3 linked regions of the Oryzias latipes genome follow. The protein of the gene in region 1 purifies or fractionates together with the protein of each later gene. This does not show direct contact. Links are inferred from orthologs where the notes say so. Each region holds a gene or a part of one and is shown on either strand. Other genes may lie near its edges.

Evidence for each region.
Region 2: the proteins of cand1 (region 1) and cul2 purify together in Homo sapiens (affinity purification with western blotting; 7 studies listed by BioGRID and IntAct, with this or other methods). This does not show direct contact. The link is inferred for Oryzias latipes from reciprocal best matches to the Homo sapiens genes CAND1 and CUL2.
Region 3: the proteins of cand1 (region 1) and dcun1d3 purify together in Homo sapiens (affinity purification with western blotting; 3 studies listed by BioGRID, with this or other methods). This does not show direct contact. The link is inferred for Oryzias latipes from reciprocal best matches to the Homo sapiens genes CAND1 and DCUN1D3.

The regions. Positions count from the first base shown.
Region 1 is NC_019881.2:23,312,252-23,315,188, forward strand, and holds part of cand1 (cullin-associated NEDD8-dissociated protein 1), read left to right. Parts: intron 1-537; coding exon 538-681; intron 682-752; coding exon 753-888; intron 889-955; coding exon 956-1,132; intron 1,133-1,212; coding exon 1,213-1,308; intron 1,309-2,194; coding exon 2,195-2,364; intron 2,365-2,937. UniProt on the Homo sapiens protein: Key assembly factor of SCF (SKP1-CUL1-F-box protein) E3 ubiquitin ligase complexes that promotes the exchange of the substrate-recognition F-box subunit in SCF complexes, thereby playing a key role in the cellular repertoire of SCF complexes.
Region 2 is NC_019878.2:9,081,647-9,085,300, forward strand, and holds part of cul2 (cullin-2), read right to left. Parts: intron 1,752-3,654; coding exon 1,665-1,751; intron 1,581-1,664; coding exon 1,428-1,580; intron 1,349-1,427; coding exon 1,271-1,348; intron 1,191-1,270; coding exon 1,124-1,190; intron 1,041-1,123; coding exon 838-1,040; intron 740-837; coding exon 638-739; intron 528-637; coding exon 411-527; intron 1-410.
Region 3 is NC_019877.2:9,531,400-9,535,715, reverse strand, and holds the start of dcun1d3 (DCN1-like protein 3), read left to right. Parts: upstream 1-1,418; 5' UTR 1,419-1,798; intron 1,799-2,809; 5' UTR 2,810-2,878; intron 2,879-4,046; exon of another isoform or gene 4,047-4,101; intron 4,102-4,177; 5' UTR 4,178-4,284; coding exon 4,285-4,316. UniProt on the Homo sapiens protein: Contributes to the neddylation of all cullins by transferring NEDD8 from N-terminally acetylated NEDD8-conjugating E2s enzyme to different cullin C-terminal domain-RBX complexes and may play a role in the cell cycle progression by regulating the SCF ubiquitin E3 ligase complex, after UV damage.

The sequences.
Region 1 (2,937 bases):
ATTTTCTGGATTTGAAGGTTCGTCTTTTTGAGGTGCCTAAATTCACCAGTTTACAAAGTAATTCACTACTCTTTACTTTTTCTACCCGCATACAAACGGCACCACCTCATTCATTTCAGCACATGAACACATCTAGCATCGTCTGATTCAGTGGCCTACATACTGTAGAGACAGGTTGCTCATTGGCACTACGACAGTGGAAAGCAGTTCATCTCCAGGAAAAAACTGAATTTCTTTTTTTGTGATTTGGTTACCGACTGCCCCACAATGTGAGGAAAAAGTCACGAGGGTTTCTGTAGTCTAGGAACTGTAATCTATTACGTTACTCTGTTACTGACAAGAACTTGTTCTGAAGTTCAAGGGTTTAGTTTTTCCCTCCAGAGGGCTGCGGTCAGGCAGACAGTTGGCGTCATTTGTCATACGTGACGTCTTAAAGTCTGAGATGTAACTCGAAGAAACTCCGCTTCAGTGTCTGAGTTTTCACTGCAGAGGTCAGGACTACTTCCTGGTTCATGAGCGGCGCTTTCCTTTGAGCAGGATGTGAAGAACAGCCGCTCCACAGACTCCATTCGTCTGCTGGCTCTGCTCTCATTGGGCGAGGTGGGACACCATGTGGACCTCAGCGGCCAACCCGAGCTGAAGACGGTCATCCTGGACGCCTTTTCATCCTCCAGCGAAGAGGTAATCCTCGCGTCCGCGCGCCGCTTTGGCTCTGCGGCCGTGGAAGCGCTGAGTTCCCGTTTGTGGTTCAGGTGAAGTCGGCGGCGTCCTACGCTCTGGGCAGCATCGCCGTGGGGAATCTTCCGGAGTATCTGCCCTTCGTCCTGCAGGAGATCTCCTCCTCCAAGAGGCAGTACCTGCTGCTGCACTCGCTCAAAGAGATCATCAGTGAGTACCGCCGTGAGTGAACCCGTCCGCGGGTCCGTGTGTGGTTCTGACCCGCCGCTGTCTTCAGGCTCGGCGTCCGTGTCCGGCCTGAAGCCGTACGTGGAGTCCGTCTGGTCGCTGCTGCTCAAGCACTGCGAGTGTCAGGAGGAGGGAACCAGGAACGTGGTGGCCGAGTGTTTGGGGAAACTGACACTGATCGACCCAGAAACGCTGCTGCCCCGCCTCAAAGGGTACCTGCTGTCAGGTGACTGCTGCATCCCAGGCCGACGCCCCTTTGGCCAACCGTGTCCGAAAAGAACCCAACCTGACGTCTGATGTTTGCAGGTTCCTCGTACGCCAGGAGCTCCGTGGTCACAGCGGTTAAGTTCACCATCTCCGACCAGCCGCAGCCCATCGACCCTCTGCTCAAGAACTGCATCGGTAAACCAGAACCGCCTCAACCGTCAGAACTTCAGGGTTCCGGGCTCTGCCGGCATGTTCAGAACACCCGTGCGCTTCATTTGGCGTTGGCACACAGCCTTGCGTTATGGCCAACTTTCTAAATGACTCCTGTCTGATTGTTTTTCCACTTTGATGCATTTTCAACCATCTTTAGCTTCTTTATGTAAAAATCTTCCTTCCTGCTTGAAGTTACAACAAATCCAAACAATCTTCTTTGTTTTCAGAAACACGTTCAGCAGCAGCTAGCAATGCCACTGAAAGCTTTATCGTGAGGTTTTGGAGAGTTGAGGCAGGTTTTGTTTTTGCTCGTTTTAATGATTAGCTGATGCTGCAGCCTGTAACTCAGCCCCTCCCACAGTCAGCTGAATTAGGTTTTAGTCGTAGCTAGATGGAGGTTTGTTTCTGGTTTTCTTGTCCCAATAATCAAACCATCATGAGGCTCAGCCCTAAAATTCGGCCTCCGCTGGGTCTGCAGTTAAATGACGAGCGTGAAATGAAGCCACGCCCACTCTGTGCAGGCCGCCGTTTCAGACCAGAGGTCCAGGATTTCTGGAGCAGATCATCCAAATGATCAGAATGTAGATCTTCAGTGATCTCCATTTTTGTAGTTTTAAATAACTTCTTTAAAAAATATCCAGGTTAGATATTAGAAGTGATGAAAAATGTCTGAAAATTATCTTTTAGTTTTTAATAAATTAGACTTTATTCTGAAAGGTTTCTTACCTGTTATTTAACGACTCATTTGTCACAAATGTAATTAATGTTTTTAAATGTTGAAAGTGCTTTTTTTTCTATAAATCCTGTTTATTAAGATAAATGGTTCATCGAGGGATGCTCTGCCCTCTGATTGGCTGTTTGCTCCCAGGTGACTTCCTGAAGACCCTGGAGGACCCGGACCTGAACGTGCGGCGCGTTGCCTTGGTAACCTTTAACTCTGCCGCCCACAACAAACCCAGTCTGATCCGAGAGCTGCTGGACTCGACTCTGACCCACCTTTACAACGAGACCAAAGTGAGGAAGGAGCTGATCCGAGAGGTGGGTCAGAACTACAGCTGTGACGGTGTGGGGGGGTTTTGATCACCGCGGTGATGAACCAGCCGGGGGCGCGGTGTCACGGTCAACTGCACCCCCCACCCCACACACACACACACAAAATCCCCCAGCGGCCGCGTCGCAAATGAATACAATTACAACGCAGTTTTTTTTATTAACAAATAACAGTAACAACTAACTACTACCTGTCTAACTAATGAACTAACTCTAAAGATGTACATACTGTGTGTGTGTGTGTGTCAGCGCGCTGTGTGTGTGTGAGGAAGGAGCACACACACGTGTGTTGGGGGTGCGTGTTGATTCTTCTGCTCTCTAGCTGCATCTAGCTGCGGGGCAGGACGCTCCACCTTTGTTCATACAGACACGTAACGTTACGCTGCACAAAATAGTTCCCAAACAAAACATGTAGTGATATCCATGATATCTAACAGTGAGCGTTCATGTTTGGTGTTACAGAGTGAAGGAGAACCGTAATAAACCCCCCCCCCCAACACAAAATCCTCCGGCGGGCGGCCGTGTCGCTCACTTAAGAATGGACGCAGGTTGTAACGGAAA
Region 2 (3,654 bases), on another chromosome or scaffold:
ATTGTTCTTTTTCCGCCAGTAGGAAACAAAAAGTCCTCATTTCCGTTGTGCTGCGGTTATGCCGTTGCGTTGCGGGTAATGCTGTTGTGTTGTTTCTATGTACGTAGTGTGAGGCCTGTCGGCCACCGTAAAAAACGAATAAAAACAAACAAGTTCATTAAAGAGAAATACTCATGGGAAATACTGTAACAAACAAATTCAGTGACATAAATGGACGGGATGTGCAGGAAACATTTGGGGGATAAAAATAAAGGATATTTAGAAATAACGTAAACTCTATTTTTAAACTGAATTCTTAATGTTTTAATGTATAATTTAAAACCAAGTAGTTATTACGTCAAAGGATCAACTTGTTCCTGCAGTTTTCCATGTTGCAGGTGGCGTTTGGAATGACGGCGATCTCCACTCACCTCCTGGATGAGGGCGTTGTGCCGGAGGACCTTGCGAGCTTTCATGATCCTCACTATAGCAGCTTGTAAATACATTTTACGGTCTTCATCTACGGCACTCCTCGTCTGCTCCATCTCCTGAAAAGTCACAGGGACACAAAGCGCCGGCGGCATCCGTAATCTGGCTGTTTTACTACACGCTAACCGTGCAGAGAAAAGCTGGAAGGTAGAGAGAGCGATTCTCTGACCTGCGGTGTGTCTTTCTGCATGGATGTGGTGATCTTAAACTTTGTTCTTTTACTGGTGAAACTCATATTTAACGAAAACGTAGACTCCGTTTCAATGTCCTCCTGTGGAGACAGAAGGGGTGACGCATTCGAATGAACATTTCACAGGTTGAAGCAAAGTTGTCACCTAGAAACGGTCGAGCAAAAGGGAAATCAAAAACCTTTTCTGAATCGTGGTTTAGCATTTTGACATCCAGGAGGGACTTGACGGTCTTCTGGAGCTCCTTCTCATTCATCTGGGTGCCGTCTTGTAGCTCCTTGTAGGTCACCGTCTGGCTGTTGTTAAAGGCCAGCAGCACAGCCATCTGATAGGTGGTTACCATGGCAACATAGGGCTTGGACAGGTAGTTCATCTTCACTTCGCCTGTTGGAGAAAATTTGCAGCTGAAACTGGCCCAGGTTTGGTTTTCTCAGCGGTAAACACATTAAAGTCCAACTGTTTGGTACCTGTACAGAGGTAGTGCAGCCAAGTCAACTTCCGCCCACTGAAGTGCTGATTATAGAACAACTCAAACTAGAAAAAAAGAGGGGTGGAGTCAAAAGCGTGCTCTTGTCATCGCTCCTTTCGGTCTACAGCTCAGTAGCGCAGCTCACCATCTGCACACTCTTTTCTAGCTCCTGGGGGATGGCGAATGTCGAGGAGGGGACGTGTGTGAGGGGCCAAGCTCCAGCCTGAAACGAGACCGAAAAAATGTCAACAAACTGCTATGTGTGTATGCAAAAAAAAAACCCCGACTTTGCCCCCACGTACTTGTAAAACGTAGATCTGGAAGCTGATTCCCAGGTCCACCACCGTCTCCTGAGTCTTGATGAAATTGTTGAATTTGTTGTTGAGGTCGGCGCTGACGCTCATGTCTGTGTACATTCTGTGGAGTTTGCTGGTGAACTCATAGCCACAGGCTTGCTGCGAAGCCAGAAGGGGCATTAGGAAAGTGAGGAACAAGCACACAAAAACTGGCAAACAAGGATCCGACCGCTCAGAATTTACCTTTAGTTTGTTGATCATGGCTTCTTCTGAATCCATCGACAACGATAAGCCGTGTATTAACCTCTTTGCTAACATTCTGGCATAAAACTGCAGAAAACAGAGAAATAGTCTATATAGTTAAACGACACATTAAGGGTTTAATGGCCATCCCACCCAGGGCCGAAACATTTCAATATCTGAAGACAGCAGCTTAACCTTTTGACACCAAAGATTTAGTGCTGACACTCTTTGGACAAGCGTAACGCTATATTCACGCCAATTTATGTGTCAGCGGCGTCCAGTTTCAAGGTCAAGTCGATGCACAGATGCAATCAGAGGTCCTAATTGCAGCAGCCGGACAGCCCCGTGTTTTGGGCGTCACAGCATGTCAGGAGTTCAATTATTTGAACTTTGAAGACAAAGACAAGTTGCATCAACCAATCAGGATCTTTGTTTAAGAGCTTGTCTCAGAAACCAGCGTCAAAAGAAAAGCGTGCGAGTCGTGCTCAGTGTGAACGATGCAAAACTCTTCACCCGTTCACGCAATCAACGCAATTTCAATGGATTCTGAGGCTGAAAAAAGAGGCTTTGCGCTGATTTGCAACACTTTACAGTAATAAAGTAGATGTAAATCACCTGATTCTGTTGCAAAGAAGTGCAGCTTTACGTCGTTGCATTACATAAAATGTTGCATTTCTGTGTCCTAATCTGTTGGAATCACATTTGTTGTGCATAACATCAAAGAGTTACGGTAGTTCAAAGAGCCTGTTATTTAGGGGTTAAAGAGTAAAAAGTAAAGCAGGGGGTCTCAAACTGGCGGCCTGCAGGATTTTTCAAACCCCACAGGTGATATTTGCAGCCCCCAACTTAATATGAAAGTTTAACGTCAGTACGAGTTTTGCATGAACGGCACTTTTACAGTGTTGTGTGCAGAGCTGACGAGCCGACCAATCACGGTGGGGTACATGGCTCTTGGGGGCGTGACATTGGACGGGCTTGATAGATGTAAGCAGGGAAACGTTTAGGGCAGACCACATTCATTTTCTTTTATAGCATGTATGACTAGATGCCTGGGTTAAAATGTGGCAAAATGTGGTAAAAAAAAGACAAAATCCAAAAACATAAAACGTAAAAAAAAACATAAATAAATTTTGTTTGTCCCTCACGCCGGTTTATACTTCACAGCGACCAGCCATCGCATCAATCGTATCCACAATCACCCAGTCTAGTTCATTCTAATGTTGGCTGGTTTCCATTGCGAATGTCTGCTGTATGAACTTCTGAGGGCGGGGCTCTAGACTCTAGGGTCTAGAATTTTTGCACTGGTTGTACCTAACTTTTTATCTTAGGTGCCCCAGCATGAAGGTAGTGTACCTACCCTTCTCGACCACATGGCATTTAACTTAACATTTGTTTCTCCTTCAAACTGGTAAACATAAAGTCCTTTCTTTGAAATACAGTTCTACAAGGTAGGTAAGCTGCACGCGTGTTTCTCATCCAGTGATGATGAAAAAAGTCAAATTCTTAGGTCTTCTGCTGCAGCTGGACATGTATCTGCGTGACCTTTTCACCAGCACAGTGTTTCCTTGTTTATTTCAGGAGTTACGTTCTAAAAATAACCGTGAACGAGGAAATCTCCGGAGTAGGATTACAGAAGTTTATTGGCGGTAAAACTCCTCACTGCCCTCTTTCTCAGACAGACATGAACATTTTCCCACTTTTTTCTCTTGTTTAAATTCTCAAAGTTCAAACCTTTATAGTAATTAAGTCCAGGATCTTAGAATGAAAACAAAGATCAAAGATTTCTGTAGATCTGAAAAGCTCCGTGTTTCTGTAAAGGAGACACGGCATGGAGGAGATTGATTGACAAGATATCCAACCAATCAGGACACAGAAGAGCATGATCTCTCTAACGAGTGAGCGAAACCGCAAAAGATGAACTGCGACGTAGAAAGGAAACACTGTCTTCTGTTCTACTTGACAGGGATTTTCAGATTGGCTCAAATTGGGG
Region 3 (4,316 bases), on another chromosome or scaffold:
AATTTCAATACGGAGAGAGTTAAACCCTAAAATACAAGAAACAACACATAAAAATTGTCACTCTAAATAGTCAATATAACTGCAAATAAATCACAAAAATTTATCAAAAGCTAGGTAGAAATTTAACCTACCTGTTTAATAAGCCTGCTAGGACAACAGAGGAGAAAAAAACTCTGTCGCTCAATGATGACGTCTTCAAATAAAACTTTATTAATAACTACAAATAACAAATTCGCATGTGAGGATTGTCCGTTCAATTAAGGAGTGATTGTCTTGTGAAACATCTTAATATACTTTAAAACAAATACACATAAAGAACATCTTCAGGGTAAAAGGACTAACCAAGGAAATATATTTCAAACGAAAGTATAATAATTAAAGGAGCATTTGTGAAACAACCAATAACTTAAAGAGAGACCCAACAAGACTATCCTTCTCCACAAAAACTTATTGTAATTTTTTTGTCAATAATTCTAAATAATTTCGATTGTATATGAAAAATTATAGTTAAACCCATCTTCTGAATAAGCGACCAACAATATGAGTGCACTATTATTGATAATTGACCATTGCCAGTACTGCTCCAATGTATTACTAAAAGCATATCTTATATTTGAATAAATATATTTAAGCATTATTAGTACATAAATATGAGTTTCAATTTGTAGTATGCCTAAATTCAATTATACCTGCAGGTGGTATTTGGATATTTTACATTTACAAACATTAGGTTTGTTGTAAAGAAATCATTTCGTTTGGTGCTATGTTTTAATAACCTAAATAAATAAATGAAGGTCCAACCTTTGATTTGGTTGATTTCTTTTTTAAGTCACAGAAATTCATACTAAAATTAAACATTGTTATCTTGAGATATGTGTCTAAACAGTTTAGGTTTTCTATTCAATCATACATCCATATCATTTAAATTTGAAATGAATAAACATTTTGATGGGTTCCAAAAAAGTACTAGCTTAATTGTATATGACTGCATTAATACTGTTGGTACACAACACACACACACACACACACACACACACACACACCCCACACACACACACGCACACACACACACACACACATACACACACGAAAAACGTTGTTGTTGTTGTTTTTTTAACCATTAACCAAAGATTCATTTCATTTCTTTGTTATAAATATTTACAAAAAATTGAAATTCAATTTAATTGTCACTTATATGTAAGGTTAATACCTGTAACCCAAATGTATACCAGAAAGAATACAAATTTCTAGGACATTTTGGTGACCCTAGTTAGGTCACAAAGTTTGATGGGTCACACGACACACACATTGAAATCTTTAAGGTTTTTGGTCACAAACTTTGGCGTTACACCCCCGTTCAGACGAAGATCAGCTGTTGGCTGCTTGCAGGGAGGGAGGAAGTGATGCAGTAAATGCCCATAACGTTGCTACACTCAATGACTTAAAGGGGGAGAGCACAAAGAAGCAGAGTGCTTTAGTCCAAGATTATCTTTTCACTTTTTTCAGTCAACAAACAGAGCTAAAAACAGTTTAAAAAAAAATATTTATTTTTTTTTCATTATTTTTGCCTTTCCTTCCCTCTGCGTGTCGTCTAGAATCAGACATTAATGTAGAAGTTTTTTTTTTTTCCTTTTTTTTGTCAGCTCACCGCTAAAGCTAGCAATCTGAGTTAACGCGACGAGTTTCTCAGTTCGCTTGTAGTCGCTTTCGGCTAACTTACTTTGTTACCTAATTTAACTGGCACTCTTTGTAGCGATGTCAATCCATCCACCACACGAGAAACTGTCTTTTCAATTAGGTAAGTTTGTTTTCACTTATATTTAGGGTACTTATCAGTCGGAAAGGAGCTAGCATAGCAGATAGCTAACTTTTAGTGATCCAAGCTGATGCTAGCTAGCTATGGCGACGTAGCCAGGGCCAGTCAGTTTTAAATGTAAGAGTGAAAATGACCCATTGATGGGAAAGTATTGTCGTTCAGTGCTTGTGTTTTTAAATGTAGCACAGTGTGTCACTGTAGGGTGTTACTGTATTGGTCGTTATGACTGCTTAAACATTGTTTACCTTTCATTTGGGATGTACTACATGTCATGTGATGTTGAGCTCTTAATTTTCTCAAAGTGTTTGGATCTTCATAACAAATTAACTCGACCTTTTAATGTTAGACATACTCGAATAACTCATTAGTTAATGTGTTGCAATAACAGCGGTGCAGATGTTGCACAGGCGTGTTCTAAATCTACTTTGTCTACTAGGACTCTTTTAAGACTAGCTAATCTGGTTAAACTAATGTCTGATTAGTTTACTTGGTGCTTACTAATTAAGTGTCCTGCTAGTTTATGGTGAATATGTTGGCCTTCATCTTGGGGGAGCTTGATGACCTGAAAGACTTGCCCGAACATGCCTAGAGCATTGATCAGAGCAGGATTTGCTCTGCTCTAGAATATCCTACTCATCATGTTGTGACTTAAGTCCTGACTCAGCGATCATGCCTCTTAAGTTTTTTTTCCCCCTTTTAGTTTTAAACTCCCCACCTTAACGTTCGAGCAAAGCTATGATTTTGCGTGTGTTTTGACTTTTGTCTTTACAAAACAGAAAACCTTAGAACAATAGAGGCCCTTAACTGATTACAGTAGGTCAGCTCTGTGTGCCCCCCACCAGTATGCAATTGCATCATTGTGCAATAAGGTATAACAGTTTAGCTGTGCTCAAACTGCATAGACCCAAACCATAATAACAATAATCCCTGGAAGTGTGGCAACGGTGAGTCATCACTTTGTGGTCTTGATGACAAGATAATGTGTCTTTTCAGCTTTGCAGTGATGTCAAGGTCACAATGATGGCGCAGAACTGAAAGATAATGCCATCACGATGAGTATCTGTAAGTAACATCCTCATTAGCTACTCACATTAGTTCTCATTTAATTCATTTGTTTTGTGCTAACTTTACTTAGAATAAAGATAATGCTGAGCTCCTGAGTCACATGTACTGTTTCCACATCGTTGGTACTCACATTTGTCATGAGAATGTGCTATGGAAGATTTGAATACAGTTCCCTTTTATCCACTACTCCTATAAATGAACTTATAAGACTGATTAACCATATTATGAAATGTTCAGGCATTAAAATTCATCATCAGACTTCTTGGCCAGGTCTCTGCAGGCCAGACAAACAGGTTAAACGCATAAAAGAAAACTCAACTAATCACAGCAGTTGAGGGATTCAACAAAATCTCAGTGTGACACAGGAAACAGGATCAAATGCAAACATTGGATATTTACATTCACATAGTCTCAGAGCAATTCTCTGCTTTACTTTCTCCAGTTTGTTGATCCACCCTTCGCTGTTCATCAGTCAGGTTACAATGTCACACGATTAGTGTTTTGATTAATTCATGACGTGGACTTTTCTTTGAATTCTGTAATTTTCTGAAGAAATGTTTGCAGTTCCTCATAAAAATCTGGTTGTAAGAAACTCTAATATGTGAAAGCCTTACTTCATGAACAAGTGCTTCCCTTTTGAAAACTAAAATGTTGAAACTCCATTTCAGGTTGAGACATTCTCTTCCCTCTTATTGTTTTAAAAAAAAATTTAGGACAGAAAGATGGTAAAGAGGCTTTCAAAGACTTGAAGCCACAACTTTACTTTATCTAAAGAGCCCTGACAAAGACATAATACACTTAATGAAGTTTTATATTTGTTAAACACAAAATTATGCTCAACAAATTAAAGGAAAAAAAGTACAGTCAATCAGATGGACTGACCTATTCAAAACTACTATTTCTTTTAAACCTAAATTTAAGCATACATTTTTTTGAAATTGAAATAATATTGGCTTGTATTTTTGAAGTGCTTAATTTTCTTGTAGTGGAATTTTTTTTACAACTATTTTAGTGCTACCAATTCATAATTATTGGGGGCAACCAAAAAAAAAAATTTTTTTTGTGATATGTTGTTTTATTTTTTATCTATCAGTGTTTTATCAGAAATATATGTTGCGCTTTTATTTTATGTACTGTAATAACTTTTTTTTTTTTTTTTTTAGAGAGAGAGAGTTTAACTTCTCCAATTAAAGTTTTGGTTTATGACAGATCTAGCACAGGTAGCTTCACTTTTTCTTTCTTTGATATTCTTGTTTAATGCTTCACTCTGTCAGTGATGAGTGTTCTCCATTTCAGGCCTGAGGGTATGTTGAGACGTCTCGCCTGGCCAGATCAGAGGCGTTTAGGTGGTTCGGACGGGGACTGAATGTGAGGAGGAAGGGAGAGGGACCAGTGAGAGAGACATGGGCCAGTGCGTCACCAAGTGTAAGAATCC